Linked DNA regions of Caenorhabditis elegans. The protein of the gene in region 1 interacts with the protein of each later gene in a pairwise test. Each region holds a gene or a part of one and is shown in the gene's direction. Other genes may lie near its edges.

Evidence for each region.
Region 2: the proteins of F13B12.4 (region 1) and cct-5 interact in a two-hybrid assay, tested with the Caenorhabditis elegans proteins (one large-scale study listed by BioGRID).

The regions. Positions count from the first base shown.
Region 1 is NC_003282.8:10,443,930-10,448,592, reverse strand, and holds F13B12.4 (Putative pyridoxal-phosphate dependent protein F13B12.4), read left to right. Parts: upstream 1-1,788; 5' UTR 1,789-1,790; coding exon 1,791-1,902; intron 1,903-1,958; coding exon 1,959-2,156; intron 2,157-2,324; coding exon 2,325-2,497; intron 2,498-2,799; coding exon 2,800-3,389; intron 3,390-3,587; coding exon 3,588-3,822; 3' UTR 3,823-4,008; downstream 4,009-4,663. Other genes in the region: F13B12.7 (Neprosin domain-containing protein), read right to left, coding at 4,009-4,175, 4,219-4,396, 4,440-4,499.
Region 2 is NC_003281.10:4,504,914-4,510,055, reverse strand, and holds the start of cct-5 (T-complex protein 1 subunit epsilon), read left to right. Parts: upstream 1-1,941; 5' UTR 1,942-1,971; coding exon 1,972-2,079; intron 2,080-2,186; coding exon 2,187-2,412; intron 2,413-5,142. Other genes in the region: F25F2.1 (Protein kinase domain-containing protein), read right to left, coding at 234-424, 824-1,078, 1,125-1,127.

The DNA.
Region 1 (4,663 bases):
TCTTTTTTCAGCAACTTATGGATTTCCTTTTTTGGATATACAAATTTTCACTTTTTAAAAATAATAAATTAAACTCATTTTGTGAGTGTTTGTATAAATAGTTTTCGACAAATTGTAATTTTCGGGTGAAAAATCTGAACAAAATTGAGTTAAATTTTTAAAAACTCTTAAATTTCTAGAAAGTAATGTAGTCAAAATTTAAAACCTTTACTCTAGATTGAAAACGAACAGATGTTTTTCTGCAATCAAATTAATTAATTTGCAACATTTAAACCTCTTGACGTACTGAAATTGTTCTTTTTTGTTTATTTCCTTGTTCTCTTACAATTGGCAAATCTTTTGTTTGAAAGCAGTAACACATCATACTTTTCCAGACTAATCTCTTCAATAATTTCTATGAGTTTAAAATGAATTAAGACAAAGGTGCAAGAAAGATATGACATCATTTGACCTACATGCTTCATTTTAATTTGTATACCGCTTCAAAATGATATCATTTCAGAAGATGATGCGATTTGAAACAAAATTTGAGAAGCCGTAGTGTATGTAGTAGTTTTAATTAAATCAAATCATCTTAGTATAAACTGCTTCCGGTTTCCGGAATCTAAATTCAAATCAAAATTTTTTTGACTTGACATTTTTAGAAAAATGGCAAGAAACTGATCTAGAGACAACCAGACATCAGTGATCAGCTCCGATTCTTGGTTTACTTGGACTGAACAAAATACGTAAAACAAAGAAATTAACGAACGAATCTTTATTGTGCTTTAAAAGCATTAGTTGCAAGGAAAAGAACACTTGGAGGGTAGCTCAGGCTACTGTAACCATGATTTTATATTTTTGTTTTTTAGGTTTTCTGGGGAACTTTCAAATCTCCACAGGAAGATCCAAATCTGGGTGTTATTCGTTTATTCAGTGTCTTCAAAGATTTTTATCGTTTTGCAAATAACCTTCATATCCAAATTTATGCAACAATTTTGGGACTGGCGGATTTATTTCTAAACAATTATGGGAAATTCAATATAATAAAAATGTTCGAGCCTTATATATATTAAAAGTGCGGAAAGTTTGTATAAAAGTGGTGCCGAATTGCCGAGAAGGTTTTGAAACTCTCTAGCGTTTAAATTTCGACTGAAACTTAAAAATGGATTATCGTGTATTTTGGCAGTAGGCACGGGGCAGGCATATATCGCCTTGCACGCGGACAGACAGTCTCATGAAAAAGTTATCTTTCAGTTCTTTTTACCAACCTTAAATTTACTATATATTATTTTAGAAAATATCCTTTTACGCGCAATTTTTTGAATAGAAAGCTTCCTATGACATTTAGCAGAGTTTAAGAAAAATTTAATTTCTACATTTCAAAAATTAGAGAATTTTGTATTGTCCAGGTATTATTTTTTGTTTTGAAGCACTATTTCAAAATGAGTATCATTTCAAGTCATATAAGAAATGAGTTTAATTTTGATCAGCTTATCATTGAAACCGGAACTCTTGCAAAAAGAAAACTTAGATTCATAAATAGTCGCATCACTTATTTTTTTAATGTTTACTTTTCATTTCAAGTTTTTTATAAAGTTCACTTTCTAAACACTCCATGAACCATGTATACTATAATAGTTGTTTGACTCCGGAAACTGTGCTCTTTCATTAATTTGTGGGCGTGGTCATGCTCTTCATTGCGTTCGAAATTTCAATCTTCCTACTGTACTTGTGGGCGTGACCCCGGACTTATAAAAGAAAATTCCAATTGATACATCAATCACAAATTTAATTCATCGTTTTCAGCCATGAAACTACTTCTTCTGGCTCTGTTTCTGAGCATATCCGCAAGTTGCCTTGCAGAAGATATAACAAAAATTTCTGAAAGTCGAATTCCGAATGAGGATGCTGTACCTGATTGTTAGTTTTTTTTTTCTCAAGGTCTTTTTAATTCAATAAACATAAAATATTTTTAGATGAAGCAAAATGGAGGCTCGGAGCAATTCAAAAATTATGGAATGAACGACGAAAGATGGGACACACACCAATGACAAAATTCAGTCCCCCTGGTTTCCCGAACGCCGACATTTTCTTCAAAAATGAAACTGCCACAGCTACGAGAACGTTGAAGCACAGATTTGCATGGGCTCTTCTTCTTTGGGCTATTACAGAAGGTTAGTATGTTATTTAATTGGTGAAGTACAGTGTATCTGCGAAAACTTATATTCTGCAGGTTTTTTACTGCTAAGCTATGAGTATGAGAGCTATGAGTAAGCTAGTCCAGAAACGTTAAATAAATAACATTTCTCAAAAAAAATTTCTGCAAATTTTAAAATTTCCAGGAAAAGTGACTTCAAAAACATCCGCTGTCTACGACTCAACATCTGGTAATACTGGGTCTGCTGAAGCCTACATGTGTACTTTAGTCAATGTCCCATACTATGCTGTCGTTGCTGATAATTTGGAAAAGGAGAAAGTCAAGCAAATTGAGAGTTTCGGAGGAAAAATTATCAAGGTACTTCTTCTACTTACACAGAGTCACATACAGTATTTTTGGTTTAATTTTCATTTAATATTGACCAATTTTTTGAGTTAGCCAAAGTTTTTCCAGTTTTTAAGAACTCTAACCCCAAAACTTTCTCATTCAACTCAACGCCAATTTCTTATAAAATTTCTTTATAGAGAAACAACTTTTATTGTGTGAAATTTCGCGTTAAAATTTTTAAAGATGAGGGAAGCGTTGTTAAGAAAGTTGGAAAATGTCGAGAAAGAAGCAGAAAAATAAAAAAAATTATTGTAAGTTTTGCTTTGTTTCAGGTTCCTGTGGCTCTTCGCAATGCAAAAGCTAAGGAATTCGCCGACAAAAACCACGGATTCTACATGAATCAATTTGGAAACGCTGAAAAAGCTGAAGAATTCCATGAAAGTGGAGACTTTTATTTTGAGTCCACAAATGTCTATCATGAAATTATTGTTCAACTCAAAAAGGACAAAGAGCAAATTGTCAAAATCCCTGACTACTTTGTTCATTCAGCAGGAACCGGTGGAACTATTTCGTCAGTTGGCAGATATGTCGCTAGATATGGAGCACCTACAAAAGTCGTACTCTCCGATTCTCAATACTCTTTATTCTACGATTATGTAATTGGACATAAATTCACAAATCAATCTGGTGCAGGTATTTGGACACCTCCAGGGATTGCTGGAATTGGTTACGGATATGATATTGAACCAGTGTGGTACGGAGAAACAACAAGTTTAACAAGAAATGTAATCCATGAAGCCATGAAAATGCCTGATATTGCATCAGTAGCTACAATGAGAATTCTCGATGAAAAAGGTTATAATGTGGGACCGTCAACATCACTCAACTTCCTTGTTTCTCTTTACAAAGCCTATCAGAACAAGTAAGTAATTCAAACTGACATCATTGCAAACTAATCCGTCTAGAGTATTTATTCGTTGTCTTTTGACGACTTAAGCGTTTACTAGTACATTTAAATTTTTGCGTTAAAAAATATGTTTTAATAGTTTAGTTTACGCAAGCGTATCAATATACCTTGCGTATACCTTGGCTATCAAATCTTGATGAACACAATTTTCAGAGCCAGAAAATCTGCTATCAAGCATCGTCTTACGATTGTTACACTGGCTTGTGACCCAGGAGATTTCTACCGTAGTACGTACCTTAACAACGAATGGGTCGAGAAAAGTTTCAAGAAGTTTGGAGGTGTTATGGGAATGGAATGTTGGAAAAAGCTGATTCAAGAATCAATTGATACGGGTTCTGATTTCTATTCGAAAGGTCTCACTATGTGTCCAGGAGCTTTTAAAGTTTAACTGTTTTGCATTTCTGTGTTTTTGTGTCTCTCCGTATTGTACAGGTTCGTAATTGATCAATTTTAAATTAGATTGTTTTTTTCGAAAATAGAACTCATAGTTCCAGTGATTAAGTCTATTCCCGTGCATGAGTTTTGTGCTTGCTTTGATCTGTATTCAAGTTTAATTGAATAAACTATTTATTATTTAATTATCTGAAAACGCAAAAGTTATAATATTTGCACATAAGGCAAATATGAAAATATACACAACAAAAATTGACCAGTCGACGCCGCGAACAACAGGTTGATCAAGAAAACCATATTGAAAATCAATTGAATCTTTTTTGCGACCATCCGGTGTGTAGATGATTCCTGAAAACAGAAATTGTGATTTTTCAAAGTTCTAAAAACTGACCTGTCAATGATCTTTTCGAACAAATGAACATTTTCTTGCAAACTTCACAATATGTTGGACATTGCACAATATGTGTTGAATTATTGTCAAGAAAAGCCAACCCATCGTAAAGAGGACAGCTGACAACTTTATTTCCGATCGAAAATTGAAATATTTCAGTTTTGTTGCAAACTTCGTTCTGAAATGCGGACTTTACTTACATGGCGAAAATTTTAACTCACTTGAATACGGTACATTCTAGTTGTCTTGGAAACAAATTTAGGAATATCTCCCGTTCTCATTAAGGAAGTCAATATGTTAACTTCATTCGGATCTTTCTCGAATAGTTTGATTGCTATCTGAGTGCAAATTACATTAGTATGCAAAAATGTTTTACAATAGATAATTTGCAATGAAAAATGCTGCCGACAATTGTAATTGTTTTTTGAAGTTTTAGCAATGAAAA
Region 2 (5,142 bases), on another chromosome or scaffold:
GTATACACGAAGGTGGACCCGCAGGCCCGTTGGTAGGCATGAACTAGGCATTTAATAGATGCCTTCTAACCATAGAGTAGGCACACGGGTAGCCATAAAGTAGACGTCTAGGTAGGAATAAAGTAATTATGTAGGCATGGATGCCTTACGTAGGCATGCATAAGGTAGACACGCAGTTAGGCTTGATAAAGGCACAGGTAGGCACTTTGCGAGGCAACTCTTATTCCACTAACTTCTCAGCAATGACCACATGATCCGTCGATCTCAATTCAGCACGTGTCTTGAGGTAAGTGTTCAATGTTTTCACCGTCTCAATTGTGACTTTTGGATCGACATACATCTCTCGCCATTCGGCTTCCAGCACTTTCCGGGCAAAGTTCGGAGGATCTTCCGGTTTTCGGAACAGAGATCCCGCCATGCGATACTGAAAATGAGTACATAAATATCAAATTATAACCGAAAAAGTAGGCATAAAGGCGACCTACGCCTGCCTCATGGCTGCCACTTTCATCAAGCATTTGGAAGTAGGAAAGTATAATTCTGGGCATAGTTTGCTCTCTGCAACACCTTTTCCGAGTACGGTAGCTTCCCAGGTCCGCTAACACCATCAAGCATAACTTTACAGCATGCCTAAATAGGCATGTATTAGGCTCCATTTGCCGGCAAATTGCAGAAACACCGCAAAATGCCGTAGTTCTCGTGGTTTTTGCGTATTTTCGAAGGTACAGTAACCCTGAAACTGTATGATGCGCGATACTCCAATGCAACAGTCTGCCGAACGTGTAATAGTATCCAAAAAAGTTCAGAAATCCGGAATGTATACCTTCTTATCGATATTTGCAGCATCAACTGCTAATTTTGACTTGACTTTCTCGAGCTGTCTCTGACTTTCACCCGATTCTTCAGATTCTTCAGAAGTTGAAGAATCTCGTGCCTCTTTCTTCTTCTTTCTCTCCTTTTGCTTCTTTTTATCCTTCTTGTTCTTCTTTTCAAGACTATTCTTCTTCTGAGTCGATTTTTCTTTTTTCTTCTTATCCGCTTTCTTTTTCCGTTTATCGATTTTTTTAATTAAGCGATCCTGAACACCGGTATTCTCAGATATTCCTCAAGCCTTTTGATCTTACCATTCGTTTTTCTTATACTTCTCGAACGCTGGTTTTTGAAGCAAACACCAACTCGGACCACCGTAAAATTGAAACTGAATTTTATTTGTTTTTTTTTCAAAACCTTCCCCCCTTATCTCCACATTCAATCTATTTAGCACTCACGCTTTCAATACTTTCAATTAAAAAAGGCGAAAATTATTTGTTAAATAAATAAAATTTATTCTCGCTATAGTGTTTAAACTTTAATTTAAATTTAACTATTTAAATTTGACTATTTAAATAATTTCAGACCCAATTCTTTCCCTTCACTGTTCAATTTAAATCGAGAATAGTGGCGCCGAATTTCTCTGCGACTACGGTCAAAAATTGCGGACTTGCCGCGTACACCATGACGCGCAATTGCACATGTGACATTTTTCTAGAAGATTTTCAATTTTTTTCGTCAAAAAACGTTCATTTCACCTCAGTTTTTTTAAGTTGGCTGATGAAATTATATCCAGAAATTTAAAATTCAAACCTATTTCCAGTTTCTGTCCGCTCTGCACTCAGATTTAGCATTTTAGGTCGATTTTCAGTGTTCTTGGTATCATTGCATTTTAAAATTCTTCGAGAAGATCCCGAATAACCGAACAGCTGCCAATGTTGCTATTCCAATTTTCTTTCGTTCATTTTATTCATTCCTCGAGAATATTCTGCGGGTTTGATATCGAGAACATTGTTTCGAAATGCTGAATTTCGTTTCTTTTTCTTATTTTTGAAAATCAATTCTCTTTCAACAACTTATACTTAAATAATTTTCTCTTAATTAAAATTTTTAACATGCTAATATTTTCAGTGTCTGTCAAGACGGAACTTGGATAAGAAAATGGCGCAGTCATCTGCGCAACTACTGTTCGATGAGAGCGGGCAACCGTTCATCGTTATGCGTGAGCAGGAGAACCAGAAGCGTATCACCGGAGTTGAAGCTGTGAAAGTATGTAATAATTATTTTTTTAACCGGAACATTTAGTTTCTAAATGTTATGTTTTCATGTTTGACAAGTCCTGAAGTTTGTTCTTAAAATTAACTTCATTATTTCAGAGTCATATTCTTGCCGCTCGTGCTGTGGCCAACACTCTTCGCACATCTCTCGGTCCACGTGGACTCGACAAGATGCTCGTTTCTCCAGACGGCGATGTCACCATCACCAACGACGGAGCCACTATCATGGAGAAAATGGATGTGCAACATCACGTTGCCAAGCTTATGGTTGAGCTCTCCAAGTCTCAAGATCACGAAATTGGAGACGGAACCACTGGTGTCGTTGGTGCGTTTTTTTTTTTGGCAGAATTCAGCGCGCACCTCGTAAAATTAGATAGCTTAAACTTATTATGATTATCATGTGAGAGTTGAATATATTTTAGTTTAGAAAACCTTTCCTAATATCAAGTAAATTCCTAGCGAAATTCTTTCCTCTGGTGATTCTCTATGAACATTTTTCGATTCATGTCTAGAAAATGTCCACATTTCTCCCTTTTCTTCGTCGTAACTAAACCGTGTTTGCTTTCCGATTTTTCCTTTTTTGGTCGCTGTCCTTCATTTTCTTCTGCTGTGTAGTTTCGTCTGCAGCATAGTTTAAAATTATTTCGGTTTAACGTTTGAAATTCACCTCAACTACGTAAACCATAATCTTGATAAACTTCGGAATAGCTTTGATAGTTGTAACAAGATTTTCATTTTAAAAAAGCAAAGAGTTGATGTTATTGTCTGAGCTTGTGGATACAGCCGGCAAATCGAAATTTTGATTGCAGGATTTTTTGTAAACGTCACCAGCAGCTGCATTTTAAAATGCCATTGAGAAGCAAATTCGTGAGCATTTAGAGTAAAAGAACTGAAATGTTCATTGATTTTTTCATAAAATGACCGTATTTTTATGATGACTATGAGAAGCGCACCTATTTGTTGACGTCATAAACCCGGAATAAGTCTGAATTTCGAGACAATCAGTCTGAGTCACTCGGCAAAATTGGTTATCGATAATTTTTCGTGCTGGTTATAAAAACGAACTCTGTACACATGAAATTCGAAGTGAAACGTGTTTCATCTGCAATCTTTTCTTTATCAGTATCACACATTAAATCGAAATACTTTCTATCGAAAATGTATATTTTGTTGTCACCCTCTGGTCATTCATGATAATTAATTTAAAAAAAAAAGAACCCTTAGCCGTTCCTTTAAAAGTTTGAAATGTTTGATCTATGAGAAAGTGCGCCTGCTCGTTGTCGATCGTTCTAACTAAACAATCCATTTGCTCTCCTTTTTCGCTGTGCCCGACGCTCCGACAAAATAAAAAACGAAAAGATTGCTCATTTTTCTGATGGTGTGAGCACACAAAAGCCAACAGTTGAATGGGAGGTCTGTCGATTCTCCATGTTCTTTGATTCTTCATTGTTTCTATCTGCACCTTTCTATGACGAAGAAATACACGATAAGCTATCTTTCTTTCATTTTTTCAAGTGAATGTTGACCTCCAGACCTTGGAGTCTTAACAATTCTCCGTTTGCACCATTTTTCTTACGTAACCATATGTTTGCGAAAAACGTGGGCAAATATGGTATCGTATGAATTGCATCGTTAAAAATTCCAGTTCTTATCATATTGTGTTTCTTTTTTGATAACGATTGATGTCGACCCGTCGATTTAGAGCGTCTTTATGGATTTTTGATATATTTTTTGTGTGAAATTTTGTCACTTCAAAGTTTGAATTGCCATAAAAAATTTATTTCGCAAAATTATGCGTCGGTGGAGAATTTCTAGTGTTTCTTATTCCAAAAATTGTGAGCCCTCATGCTTGAGCCACTTATGTCTTTCATAATTTTGATGCAATGTCGCTGTCCGATGTCGTCCAGCATTTTTCCTTCCATTTTTTTCCCGTTTCCTTCGATAAATAATTGAGTGGTTGCTGTGGGCGCGCGCTCCTGCGCGCTAACACTCATTCTCTCACAGCGTCTCTTTTTTCCTCTCCATTTTCTATTCCCTTATTTTATGTCCCATAACAAGTGTTTCGTTTTCCGTTGAGTCGTAAGAGACAGAAGAGACGATAATTAGATTGGTGTGACCGACATGCAAGTGTGCACGCTTCATCGCTCTCTCCATCTGAGCAACATTTTCCAGAAGAGAAACCGAGTCATTTTTGATGTGAGATGCTTAAATGCAAGACTGGTCAAATTCTCTCTTCACTCTATATCTTTGAATTTATGATTTGATGGAAAGAGATTGGTTATTCATAAGATTGTCAAGCTCATGTTTTTCCAGTGCTTTTGGATTATTTAGGCTTCTTTTTCCGAAAAATCTTTCCATAACGTTAATTTTTTCTAAGAGGTTTCAAAATTTTTTGAGGTAGTCAAACTTTGTTGACAGTGTCTAGTTTCGCGTTAAATTCCATCGAAATCAAGATATGTCCAAATAAATTAGGTGTTTGATTCTTTAGAAAATCTAATTTCTAGGTTGATGTTTGTGATATCATGTAATTCTAAGTTGGGGAGCGATATATAGTTTCGCTGGAAAAAAATAACCAAGCAGATTAGAAAATTTTCAGAAAATAGTGAAAATCACGAGGTCATTTGTTTTTTTTTTCTTATTGTTCTTCTGGTTCTGATCGTTGTCGCCTCTCCCTCTTTCAATCCATCATGCGGCGCCGATTGACAATTCTCAATTGTGTTTGTCACAACAAAAATTCAATTGTCGATTTTCCTTTTTTGCCTCTCCCCAACCTGAGGATCAAACGGTTGCTGAAAAGGTCGTCAGGGGCGACTGGTTTTTTCCCACATGTTTTACTCGTGTCATCATCAGATTATGCCCTCACTTGGCCTCGTTTTTCCGCGTAGAATCGGCAGAAAATCGATCGAATTAATAGAATCACGATTTTTTCTCTTCATTTTGTGTTTATCTATTTCTTCAGTAATTTATGATTTTATAATTTGGTTTCGGAAGTTACGGAAACAAAAATTCCGTTTTTTCCTGTCTCCGGTAAAATTTTACTCTTTCCCCTCAAAAT